Caenorhabditis elegans: one gene and its partners. The protein of the gene in region 2 purifies or fractionates together with the protein of the main gene of each other region. This does not show direct contact. Each region holds a gene or a part of one and is shown on either strand. Other genes may lie near its edges. The genes, in order: hrg-11.4, ctnb-1 and F54D11.4.

Region 1 (3,756 bases), on a different chromosome or scaffold from region 2:
AGAGAGCTGAACCGTATACGCTCCAGTTCCGTGAACATTCTTTCCGTTGCAGATAAGGTGAATTGTTTGAGTGACGTCCGTGGTGATATCTTTGCATGTGGACACTTCGCCTCCAATCGGATTATAAACTGTTGCCCGCGGATTGAGGGCGTCGAGTGTATTGATAATTACAAAGAACTCTTCGATAAAATTGTCGACGTAAAAAGTGAAAGTGTCGGAGCAAGTCGCACTGAAGATATGTGTATGTATTATGAAACATGTTATTAATCTGGTATTGGTTCTCGAATAACGTAATGAAAATCCAGATAGAGTTTTAGATTATTATTAAATCGCAAATAGAAACCGGAAAAATGAAAAATGGCAATTTTACTATCAACAACAAGTTTCACGTTTTTGACAATTTTCGAGTATTTTTTTTCGAGTACTTTAAAACACGCCTATGGTACCAAAATAACCGAATATCATGATTAAAAAATTCAAAAAAAATTTCTAAATTTTATATGATTTTTTGAAAATTGAAAAAAATCTCAGTTTTTGCCTAATTCCGATTTGAATTTCCGCCTATTGAAGTTGTTCGATGGAGCGCACTTGCACGTTTTAATTTTAATTTATTGTTATTTTGAAAGAAAATGCATGCATTTAAACGATTTCGAACTTGAATTTACAGATTTCACAGACTCACGCTTGTGAATTAGCTTTTTAATCAAAAATTAGCATTTATTTTGACTTTTTCGTCAAATTTCAGACAAAACTACATTGAAAACATGGAAAATTGGTGAAAAATATGACAAAATAACAATAAATTAAAATTAAAACGTGCAAGTGCGCTCCATCGAACAAATCCAATTGGCGTAAACTCAAATCGGAATTAGGCAAAAACTGAGATTTTTTCAATTTTCAAATTTTAAAATTAGAAAAAATTTTTGCATTTTTTTATCATGATATTCGGTCATTTTGGTACCATAGGCGTGTTTTAAAGAAATTTCCCCACTGGCGCCACTCCACCTTTAACTAGAATTAACATTTTCCAGATTCTATTCCTAAATTTTAATGAAAACACTGAGTGAAAATGTCCCACAGGCTCAATTTTTAGAACTGCTGGTTAGCAATCTCCGAGCACTCCACGATTTTCTACAATATTCCCTACTAAAAATGTATACCTGAAATCACTCTCCACTAAATCACCAAATTTTGCAGTACCGTCATGAGGCAGTATATCAATTGACTTATTGTAGCATGTCACTGGAGAGGTTTGATCCAACAGTTTCGGTCTTGAAGAGAAGGTAGGTTGAACCCGTTGAGAAGGTTCCGATAGATTTAGTGCAACAAGTTGTTTGAGTTTCGAATTCACTGAAATTTAATCCCTCTGGCTAAAACTGGTCAAAAAACGTTTTCTGTAAAGATTTGAAGAGGTTCTATTAAATGTGTTGGCTTGGCCTAGCCAGAAAGAGAATCCACTGGCGTTTCCACCAAATTCACTCTTGAAAAAATTGTTCTTAGTTGGTTATTTAATTCATCAAATAAAAATTCCCGCTAGAAGCACAAAAGTGAGCTCAATACCTTTCGTGTAGTTGTGACTCGGACCAGAACTTATGATGTAAACATTTTTAAGTAAGCCTGCTGTGTTTTTTCAATATGTCAAACTTTTGCCAATATTTTCAATTTTACGTGTTTTTTACTTAAACTTACAGCTTTTCGTTAGTTCGCCGTGTTGACTTTTATTGGGAATACTTACTCCACTACAGACCCGCAGTAGTAGAATACTTGTAATTACAAATTTGAGCATTTTACTGAAAAATCGTCTTTATTTAGAAGATATTTCTTAATGTAATAATTAAATAAAACTAAATAAAATTGTTATCAGGTTTTTTTTGTTTGAAAAAGTTAGTTTATCCAATTGAGGCTCTTAAATTAGTTGTCACTGATAATGCGATTATACTCTTCCATTGGCAAGTTGTTCTCATCTAGAATTCGAATAGAGCAGAGGTTGATGTGTTGTGAAAATTCAGTTTAAAATGTTTACATTTCAGGAACTTCTGGAAAAGACAGTGGGAAACAGAAATAAAAATGGTTAAGCGTTCCACTTTGCTTCCAGCTGTTGTTTTTACAGTCGAGAACTTGCAGGTTTTTTGTTACTTACAAGTTTTTTTATTAATCAAACAATTTTTCATGTGATTTATTCAAGTGAGTTATGTTTTAACAGTTGTATTACACTGGCAACGTTCTATAAAGCTTTATAAATTTTTTAAACCACCAATGAAACTTTGTTTTCACTTTAAAAAATGTTTATTTATGCTATTTATAGGATTATTGCAAAGTTTCCGCAAAAGTATAAATAAAACTGCTTTAAAAAGATTTTGAGGCAATTGTTAAGACGTTTTAGGCTGAACAAAAATTCTGAAATATTTAAAAAAAAAAATTTATTAAATTGTTTTGCCTATTTTTAGACTTTATTAAAAGCATTACAAAATTGCAAACTTCCTCATTTGTAATAGTTGCAAACGTTACAAAAGCAGTGAAAACGTGCTCGGAGAATATCAAATCGACTTCTTTATATTCCATTGTTATTTTTTGATGAAAACCCGCTTTAAGTTCTTATAAATTCAATTTGAAAGTCTGAAAGTGAGTTAAATTACTTTCCTAGTGAGTATAACTGGACTGCATGTTGAAGTGGACGACCTCTTCCAAGGCAAACCTACAACGTGTACGTCCTTGCAAGATTTGACTGACAATCCAAGTTTATGGAAAACTTCTTTTCTTTTCAGTTCTGCAATATTTCGAAAATTCGAATAAATTATCCAGCTTTGAAATAATAATTGTTTTTTTTAGTCGAAACTTAGATTGCACCTGACAAGTTGTTAGCGGAAGGAAGTAACTTCAGTGCCAGATTTTAGAACGAGTTTTCACCAACCAAGTTTTTTGTCGCTCTAGATAGTGTTCTGAATATTTTTTTACAAAAAATTTGAAAAGGAAAACTCAACTCGTACCCCTGACATTTTTCTCAGACATTTTTTTTGGTGCACGCGTGAAATGGCTCAAAACTTTATTGTTAAAATAGGGAGCTTTTTTCTCCAAAAATAGCTTTTTAAAAGTTATAATTTCTTGAAAAGTCTGAAAATTTTCTCCTACAATCATGTCTGTTTTTATTTTTGTGTGCCAATTTTTTAAATAAAAAATTGACCATTTTTTGTAAAATTTTTTTTCTGAAAAAAAAAACTTTATTTCTCAAAACATTCAAATAAAAAGAAATAAACGTGGTTGTATGTCAAAATTCTGAATAAAAGTTTTTGGCATATAAAGGGCTGAAGCACAACTGAAAAGCAGAGAAAAGTTTAAATTTGACAAAAAAAATTGAGAAAACGGTGGGCAAGATTGATATTGGAAGTGGTAGACATAAAATTAAGATGAATAATATTGGAAAGTAGTGTGACGGTAAGAAGGGAAACATTGAAAAACCATTAAAACTATGTGATCTGTGGAACATTGAAAGAGACAAAGAAAGCGATGGGAAATTGTTGATTGAAAGAAAGAAGGAAATTAAAGCCGGCTTAATTTCCCATCAAGGTTAAACAAGACAAGAAGCGACTAGAAGTTTTGCAGAACGAAAGATGCGTCGAGATATACAGCTAGCGATTAGGTGTAGCTTACAGACAAAAATCACAGCTGGAATGAAAAATGAAGTAGTGATTTTGCTCTTCGTTGAAGAGAAATTGTGGGGCACTGAAGATCAGGAATTCAAGGGGTACACCAGTATGA
Region 2 (3,756 bases):
AAGAGTAAGACGTTGAAGCGTGTAGAGACCATTGTCTAGTTTATCCAAATATGCTCGATCTGGATCATCATCTTCTGATGTTCCAGCTTCTTGTGATTGACGCTTCTTTTTCAATTCAAATCGTTGAACTTTTTCTCTGAAATTGAAATAAAATTATTTTTCATAACGGAATGTGCTTCAACTCACTTGTACTTCAAAAATAGCTCCACAGCTCTGTCCACTTTCTCATGTTCGTGCTCAACAAATTTTTGAACAATTCGTTGACGGTGGTTCTCCGAACATGCTGCCAGCAGTGAAGAGAGAATCTAAAAAATTATTATTTATCATCAAAAGAACATTTCCTACAATATAAATTAGTCACTTTTTGTAAAATGTAATTCGTAGAAATAGATTTTTCGATTTTTAATTTAATTATATGTTCGATAAGTATCAAAAAGTGCAAGGCAGATTTGAAAACTCAATTTTTGTTCAAAAAAGGAGAAAAACCGAAAGTCCGATTTACCAGTCCAATTTTGAAGCTAAAACATTCAAAATAATATCACAACATAAATCTTACCGTACAAACGTGTTCTTCATGTTCATCAGGTGTCGTATCCTTTCTTTTTGTCTTTGAAGGTGTTCTCATGAATAACGGGAAAATTGTTCTCAATCCGAGCATTTCGACAAGTTTATTGCAATTTTCGATTCCCTCGTCTCCTGATGTTGCATGGTTCAGAACTTTCAGAGCACTTTGTCTTGCTTGTTTCTTCTCTCGGAGCATCAAATTCATCAATTGAAGACCTTCTCCGTCGAGGAACTTTTCTGAAAACATTTATTTTGAACAAGAGCAATTTTTTTGGTGTTTATATTCAAAAAAATTCGTACTTCGATTAGCCGGATGCATAAGTGCGGCACAAAGTGAGTTGAATAGATTTTCCATGTATTCTCGTTCGTCTACATTTGCTGGATCGTTCTTTTTGTACACAGCAATGGTCTTAAAAGTTCAATTTATTCTTGATACTTTGTTTGGCTACTCACTCTCAATAAAATATCGATGCCATCAATTTTCTCTGTCAGCTTTGCCTTTGCAGTATCAGAAGTCTGCAATATGACTGAAAGAAGTTCCGAAGCGTACATCTTATTCGCATCAAATGCACCTTTCTGAAAGCATCTTTTCAGAAGCCAAACCGTGAATCCGTGCTTTACGCATTCTTCAGTAATGTCATCGCGGAAACCAATCATCTGAAAATATATTGTTTTGTTTTTCAAATATCGATTTTTCTTACATTGTCCACAACTCCGAGTGCATTATGGACGCCATCCGCTTCATCTTTGACGCTTTCATCGAGCCTCTCTACGCATGCTAACAAAGTTGTGATAATCGATCCAGACACAAGACTTTCAATAAGTTCAGCTGCTCCATCTTCTCCTTCGTTCATCACATCATCGTCTGTAAGTTCTCTCAAGAGACTAAGTGTTGCACACACAATATCAGTATTCTCGTGTCCTAATAATTGAAGAAGAATTTCAACTCCGTTGACTTCAACAAACGATCCATAAAGGTCTGGTTGAGAAGCCAGACTATGCATTTCTTGAATTGCCTTGTCTAATTCAATTTCCGATTCCATGAATTTCTGAGCATCATCTGGATTTTTAACTCTTTGTTCTCGATTTAATCGCATCTTTTTGTCAAGTTGAATAACAAGTTTCTTAACTTGCACATCGTCGAGAGCCACATAATTTGATTGATCGGCTTCCAAAGCCGCAAGAATATCTTCTGGTTTTGGCTGGCCAGCTTGAGATGAAGAAGAAGCACTATCGTCAAAACGAGATTTCTTTCTTGCTGGCTGTAAACTATTTATAATCAAAAAAATTTAATATCAATTTACCTGATACAAAGAAGATGTCGATGATTTGATAATCTCTGTTACATCGATAGAAGTCATCTGGAAACAATCATTTACCAACCTATATTTTTAAAAAACCACAGAAAAATCAAAATATTGAAGAAAGTGTATAAAAATTTTCGCAAGCAAATATTTTCAAATTTTTTTTTTGCAATTACTTTGGTGTAGATATACGGTAAACAAGGCGCGCACCGGAATATCGGAGTGTCGCTCACATTATAATTTCTAGACCTGCATTTTATATATTTGTTTGTATAACCTGATATCAGTGCAATTATGGATAAGCCTTCTGTGTTATAGTTATAAATAATTTTTACGGCATTCTTTATGCCTTTTGACAACAAAATAATTATATCCGACAATTCTGGATGAGCTCAACATGATATAAATTTTTGATCTAATACCGTAGTTGACTACGGTAATCCATTCGATTTGGCGGGAATTTTCAGAGGCGGAGTTCAACTTTGAGCGGGAAAATGTCAATGAAGGGGCTGATTTCCTCATTTTTGTCCCAAATTTCGCGATGAATGTCGCTCGAAGAAGAAGTGGCCTGTTTCGGTCGACTATCGGAGCAACGCCGAAGATCACAAGAGGACGTGCTGCCGCGCCATCCACCAAAGAAGCCAATTCAACAACAATCCCAAGACAGTCGGCTCCTGGAGGAATAACGATTGGAGGTAAATTTGTCATTTGTGTTTTTAAATAACTTCCTCGTGATTTCAAAGTGTTCACACTTCTAAATAAAACATGTTTTTGTTTTTGTTTAAAACCTTTTTTGTTAACAACTACTTTAATTACGAGTTTTCAGCCGCTGCTCGTCGTCCTCCGTCTCGTTTGCCTACCCCCACAACGCCTGCAACTGGTAGAGCATCGTTGCCAGAACGATCAGCGATGGCCAAACCAGCGTCGTGTTCCCGTCCCATACCAACGATGCAATCCACCGCGAGCCGTATTTCCACACTGACGGCAGCTTCTACGTTTCGACAACTTCGCACAGGTCGTCCACCGCCACCATCCACTCAACGCTCAACTGCGACTTCTTCCCTGAAGCCGTCGGTGACAAGAGCCCGACCAGTGGCACAGAAGCCTATTCTCCCTTCTAAGATGGCGCTTCTTGAAGAGAAAATTGCGCAGCTCGAGAGTGCGATGGCTGAGGCTACCGACTTTGCTGAACATCAGAAGAGCAAGATCCAAATCCTGGATGGCAAACTTGAAGGAGCGGATCGCAAGCTGATTTCACTGCAAGATCAATTGAGCACGCTGAAAGAAGTCAACAAGGCGAAAGTGGAGGAGTGCGAGGATTATCGTGTGCACAACAACGATCTCCGGGATCTGCTCAACGAAAAGGAAGCTGAGTTGAGAAAGTTGCACAACGATGTTGTCGATTTACGCGGTCAAATTCGTGTGGCTGTTCGCGTTCGGCCGTTGATCAAATCTGAAGCCGACGCCTCGAGTTCTGCAATTGAGTATCCGGCTATCGATACCATCAGAATCAATGAAGGCTCGAAGCCTGGAATTGTGGTCAAATTCGAGAAGGTTTTCACGCCAGTCTTCTCGCAGAAGGAAGTGTTCGCGAACGTCGAGGAGTTCATTCGGGTTAGTTTCAAAATATAATATTAATAATTGAAAATTGATAATTTCAGTCGTCACTGCATGGGTACAACGTCGGATTGATTGCCTATGGACAAACCGGAAGTGGCAAAACTCACACGATGCGAGGAGGAAATGGTGAAGAGGAAGGAATCATCCCGAGAGCAGCTGCATTTCTGTTCGCCGAATCCAGAAAGCTCGAGTCACTTGGATGGAAATTCGACTTCTCGTTGTCTTTCCTAGAAGTCTACAACAACGTGGCATACGACCTTCTCAGTGA
Region 3 (3,756 bases), on a different chromosome or scaffold from region 2:
ATATTGGATGCTCGATTCTTCTTCGGAAGAGATTTCCTGCCGGGTTTCATGGTGTCTGGCTGAAAATTTAGAAATTAATTTTTTTTAAAAATTAAATTAATTATTTAATTGCCTAGGCCTCGCCGCGAAATCAGAAGTCTTTGTTGAAAAAAATAATTACTTTGAAATTAAGATCAATTTTTTCAAAATTCAAACATTATTAAAATAGACTTCGTGGTGAGACCTTTGAACTATCATTTATTAGCGAACGGGGAGGGGGGAATGGGGGCAATGACATGGTGTGGTATTGGTTTTTCGATATTTTAGAGGAAACAAATATGTGTGTTTTAAAAAAGTAATTAAACCATTACAGGAGGAGCTGCTGCCGAAGAAGAATCACTGATGTTAGGGAGGGTTCCGGAGACTGAAAAGGTACATGATTAGGCACATACACTCACACACGGCCTCCTGGAGTGTTCATAATTATTAGAGCGCGCTCGCGCTGCACACCTCACGAACTCCAGAATTTGCGGGAACTCGTTCCGCGTGGACATCAGTTTTTTGCTATTTTTGGCTTCTATAGAAAATATTTTTGATTTTTTGTTTTATAATATTCTTGAGAAGCATCATCCGAATTGAAAATGTGTAAAATTCTGAAATTTGGCCGAAAACTGAAAGTTTTACAGAAGGAAGCCACTACAGTTTTTAAAAAAATGTATCAGGATTGCCAGTTTTACGATTTATGCGTCGTAAAATATGTCATTTTGTAGAGAATTAAAAAGTTTCATAAGAACTTTCGTTTGAAATTTTAATTCTTTAATTTCTAATAAAAAAATATTCAAAAAATCAACAATTTTAGGTTAAAATCTTATTCCTTCAATTTTAAGTTTTTAATGAAAACAATTTTAAAATTTCAAACGAAAATTCTTATGAAACTTTTAATTCTCTACAAAATGACATATTTTACGACGCATAAATCGCAAAACTGGCGATCCTGATACATTTTTTTAAAAACTGTAGTGGCTTCCTTCTGTAAAACTTCCAGTTTTCGGCCAAATTTCATAATTTTACACATTTTCAATTCGGAAGATGCTTCTCAAGAATATTATAAAACAAAAAATCAAAAATATTTCCTATAGAAGCCAAAAATAGCAACAACTGCTGTCCCCGCGGAACGAATTCCCGCGAATTCTGTAGATCATGAGGTGCCGCGCGAGCGCGCTCGAATAATTATGAACACTCCAGGAGGCCGTGACACAAAAGGTTCTTCTTACGCTCGGTAATGATCTGATTAACAGTGTCGGAAGGCGTCGGGGTCTTCCAGTCTTCTGGAATATCGAAATCAGTGATCCCACGGCCCTCTAGCGCCACTTTGAACTGATTAAGACTCTCGGTGAACTCTGCTTGGGAGGCGATTTTGATCTTTCTGGCGGGAATTGAAGTAGCGTCGTTGGAAACTGCTGGACGAGGAGTGAGAATTGATTTGCGCTTCTTGGTGACTGGCGATGGTGAGAATCTCTTCTTGGCCTTGTTACGCTTCTCACGTTTCTCGGTAGATGGGGATCTTGGTGATCTTTTCGGCGTTCTGAAACTAAAATGTTGGAAAAATATAAGAATTTGAATTATTAGAGACCTCTCCGGCTTTGAATGAACAATTTCTTCCTCTTTTACTGGATTTTTAGCAGCAGAAGCAGTAGAACTTTCGATTTTCGCTGGCGTGGTCGTTTGTTTTTTTCTTCCCAAAGTTTTTGGTGTTTGTGATGTAACTGAAGTGGCGGCTTGTGATCTACGCGTGATGCGGCTAGAAGTGGGCTCGACGCCGAGGTCGAGCTCCATATCCAATAAGTCCATTACAAAAGTCTGAAAATGGGAAAATAGCGTGTTTTTTAGATTTTTTGTGTTTAAAAAGGGCATTTTTATTAATTTTCTCGAATAAATTTCAATTGAAAATATGAAAAATCGATAGAAAACGAGAAAAAAAGGAGAAAAACGAAAAAATTCGCGGAAAAAATGCTGGCGCGTTTCGTGACACTGACGCGCACGCCGTGCGCGTCAGCAACCAATTTATTTTATTTTTTAATACGAAATATAATTTCTTCCGTTTTCCTCAAGATTTTTCCGTAAAGTGTTAGATTTTTTGCTCAATTAAATAAAATTTAAATATTTTTAATCAAATAAATAATTAATTTCACTATTTTAGGTAACAAAAATGCCGCCGCCAGCTCCGTTCGAGGGGCAAAAGAACAAAGGGCACAATGGTAAGTCAATTACAAGCTTTTTACTAACTATTTTTCACGTTTACAGTCCACAAAACTGGAGGAAAAGCAAAAAAGCGAAATGAGAAGGAGCCGAGAGTCAAGGGAAACAATCTGAAAGCTTTCACTTTCCACTCCGCCGTATCCGCTGGAAAAGCGATTCGACGAGCTGCAGATCTCAATGAAAAGAAGAAACATGTTCTGATGATGGACAGAAAACCCATCGAAACACCACCAATCATTGTAGCAATCGTTGGACCGAGTAAAGTCGGAAAAACGACACTTCTCCGGGGTCTTGTCAAGTATTACCTCCGTGATGGATTCGGAGAGATCAATGGTCCAGTGACAATTGTAACTGGAAAGAAACGTCGTGTACAGTTCATTGAGGTCAAAAACGATATTAATCATATGATTGATATCGCGAAAGTCGCAGATTTGGTGCTTCTAATGGTCGATGCATCGTATGGATTTGAAATGGAAACCTTTGAATTTCTAAATATTTGCCAAGTGCACGGAATGCCACGTATTATGGGAGTATTGAATCATTTGGATCTTCTCGATGGAATCTCACGTGTCAATAAGACCAAGAAAATTCTGAAACATCGTTTCTGGACGGAGCTCTACCAGGGCGCGAAGCTTTTCTACATGACTGGAATGATGCATGGACAGTATAAATATAATGAGATCCATAACCTCTGCAGATTCATTTCTGTCATGAAATTCCGTCCGATGGTGTGGAAAGATGCTCATCCATACGTTCTTTGTGATCGTTTCGAAGACATTACCAACGTCGAAACTCTTCGAACGGATCCACTCATCGATCGACACATTGCCATGTATGGATGGGTTCATGGTGCTCATTTGAAGAATCATTCGTCGATTCATGTGCCAGGTGTTGGTGATATGAGGATCAGTAATGTCACGAGTCTACCCGATCCGTGTCCGCTGCCTGATGAGATTAAGAAACGAGCGTTGAATGAGAAAGAGCGGAAAGTGTATGCTCCGTTTTCTGGATTAGGAGGTGTCATTTATGATAAGGATGCGATTTATATTGAGTCAAAGAATGCTCACAATTTTAATGTAAGATATTCGGGATTTCAGCGCAATTTTAGACGGGAAACCATGTTAAATAAATCAGCATTTTTCATTAAAAATTAGTGATAAATATGGAAAAATTTATTTCAAAATAACATTAATCCCTGTTCAAACATCACAGAAAATGCTCAAAAATGGCTTAAAAGTCTTGAAAATTTTAATTTTAGAAAAAAAAGCTGAAAATTCATAATTTTAATGTAAGATATTCCGAATTTTGAATTATTTCAGCTCATTACCGGCAAAATTCAATTTTTAATCAGATTATTATTTATGTTGATGAAAAAAAACAGATATTTCTTCTAGAAAGAGTAAAAATTACCAAAATTTAAGGTTTTTTTTCAAAAATAGTTGAATCTATTGAAAAAACGAAAATTAAAATTTAGATTCTTGTAAATTTGCAGATTTTTCAGATTTTAGATGACTTTAA

The links.
Region 1: the proteins of ctnb-1 (region 2) and hrg-11.4 fractionate together in Caenorhabditis elegans (co-fractionation; one large-scale study listed by BioGRID). This does not show direct contact.
Region 3: the proteins of ctnb-1 (region 2) and F54D11.4 fractionate together in Caenorhabditis elegans (co-fractionation; one large-scale study listed by BioGRID). This does not show direct contact.

What each region holds. Positions count from the first base shown.
Region 1 is NC_003284.9:423,840-427,595, forward strand, and holds the start of hrg-11.4 (VWFA domain-containing protein), read right to left. Parts: upstream 1,797-3,756; 5' UTR 1,787-1,796; coding exon 1,690-1,786; intron 1,351-1,689; coding exon 1,161-1,350; intron 230-1,160; coding exon 1-229.
Region 2 is NC_003279.8:5,577,835-5,581,590, reverse strand, and holds the start of ctnb-1 (Beta-catenin-like protein 1 N-terminal domain-containing protein), read right to left. Parts: upstream 1,926-3,756; coding exon 1,869-1,925; intron 1,827-1,868; coding exon 1,266-1,826; intron 1,222-1,265; coding exon 1,018-1,221; intron 974-1,017; coding exon 865-973; intron 802-864; coding exon 557-801; intron 306-556; coding exon 187-305; intron 137-186; coding exon 1-136. Other genes in the region: klp-15 (Kinesin motor domain-containing protein), read left to right, coding at 2,410-2,563, 2,695-3,482, 3,530-3,756.
Region 3 is NC_003283.11:4,614,241-4,617,996, reverse strand, and holds F54D11.4 (DEK_C domain-containing protein), read right to left. Parts: upstream 1,847-3,756; 5' UTR 1,831-1,846; coding exon 1,613-1,830; intron 1,565-1,612; coding exon 1,254-1,564; intron 404-1,253; coding exon 339-403; 3' UTR 220-338; downstream 1-219. Other genes in the region: Protein sumv-2, read right to left, coding at 1-50; Y61A9LA.10 (Bms1-type G domain-containing protein), read left to right, coding at 2,189-2,237, 2,284-3,314.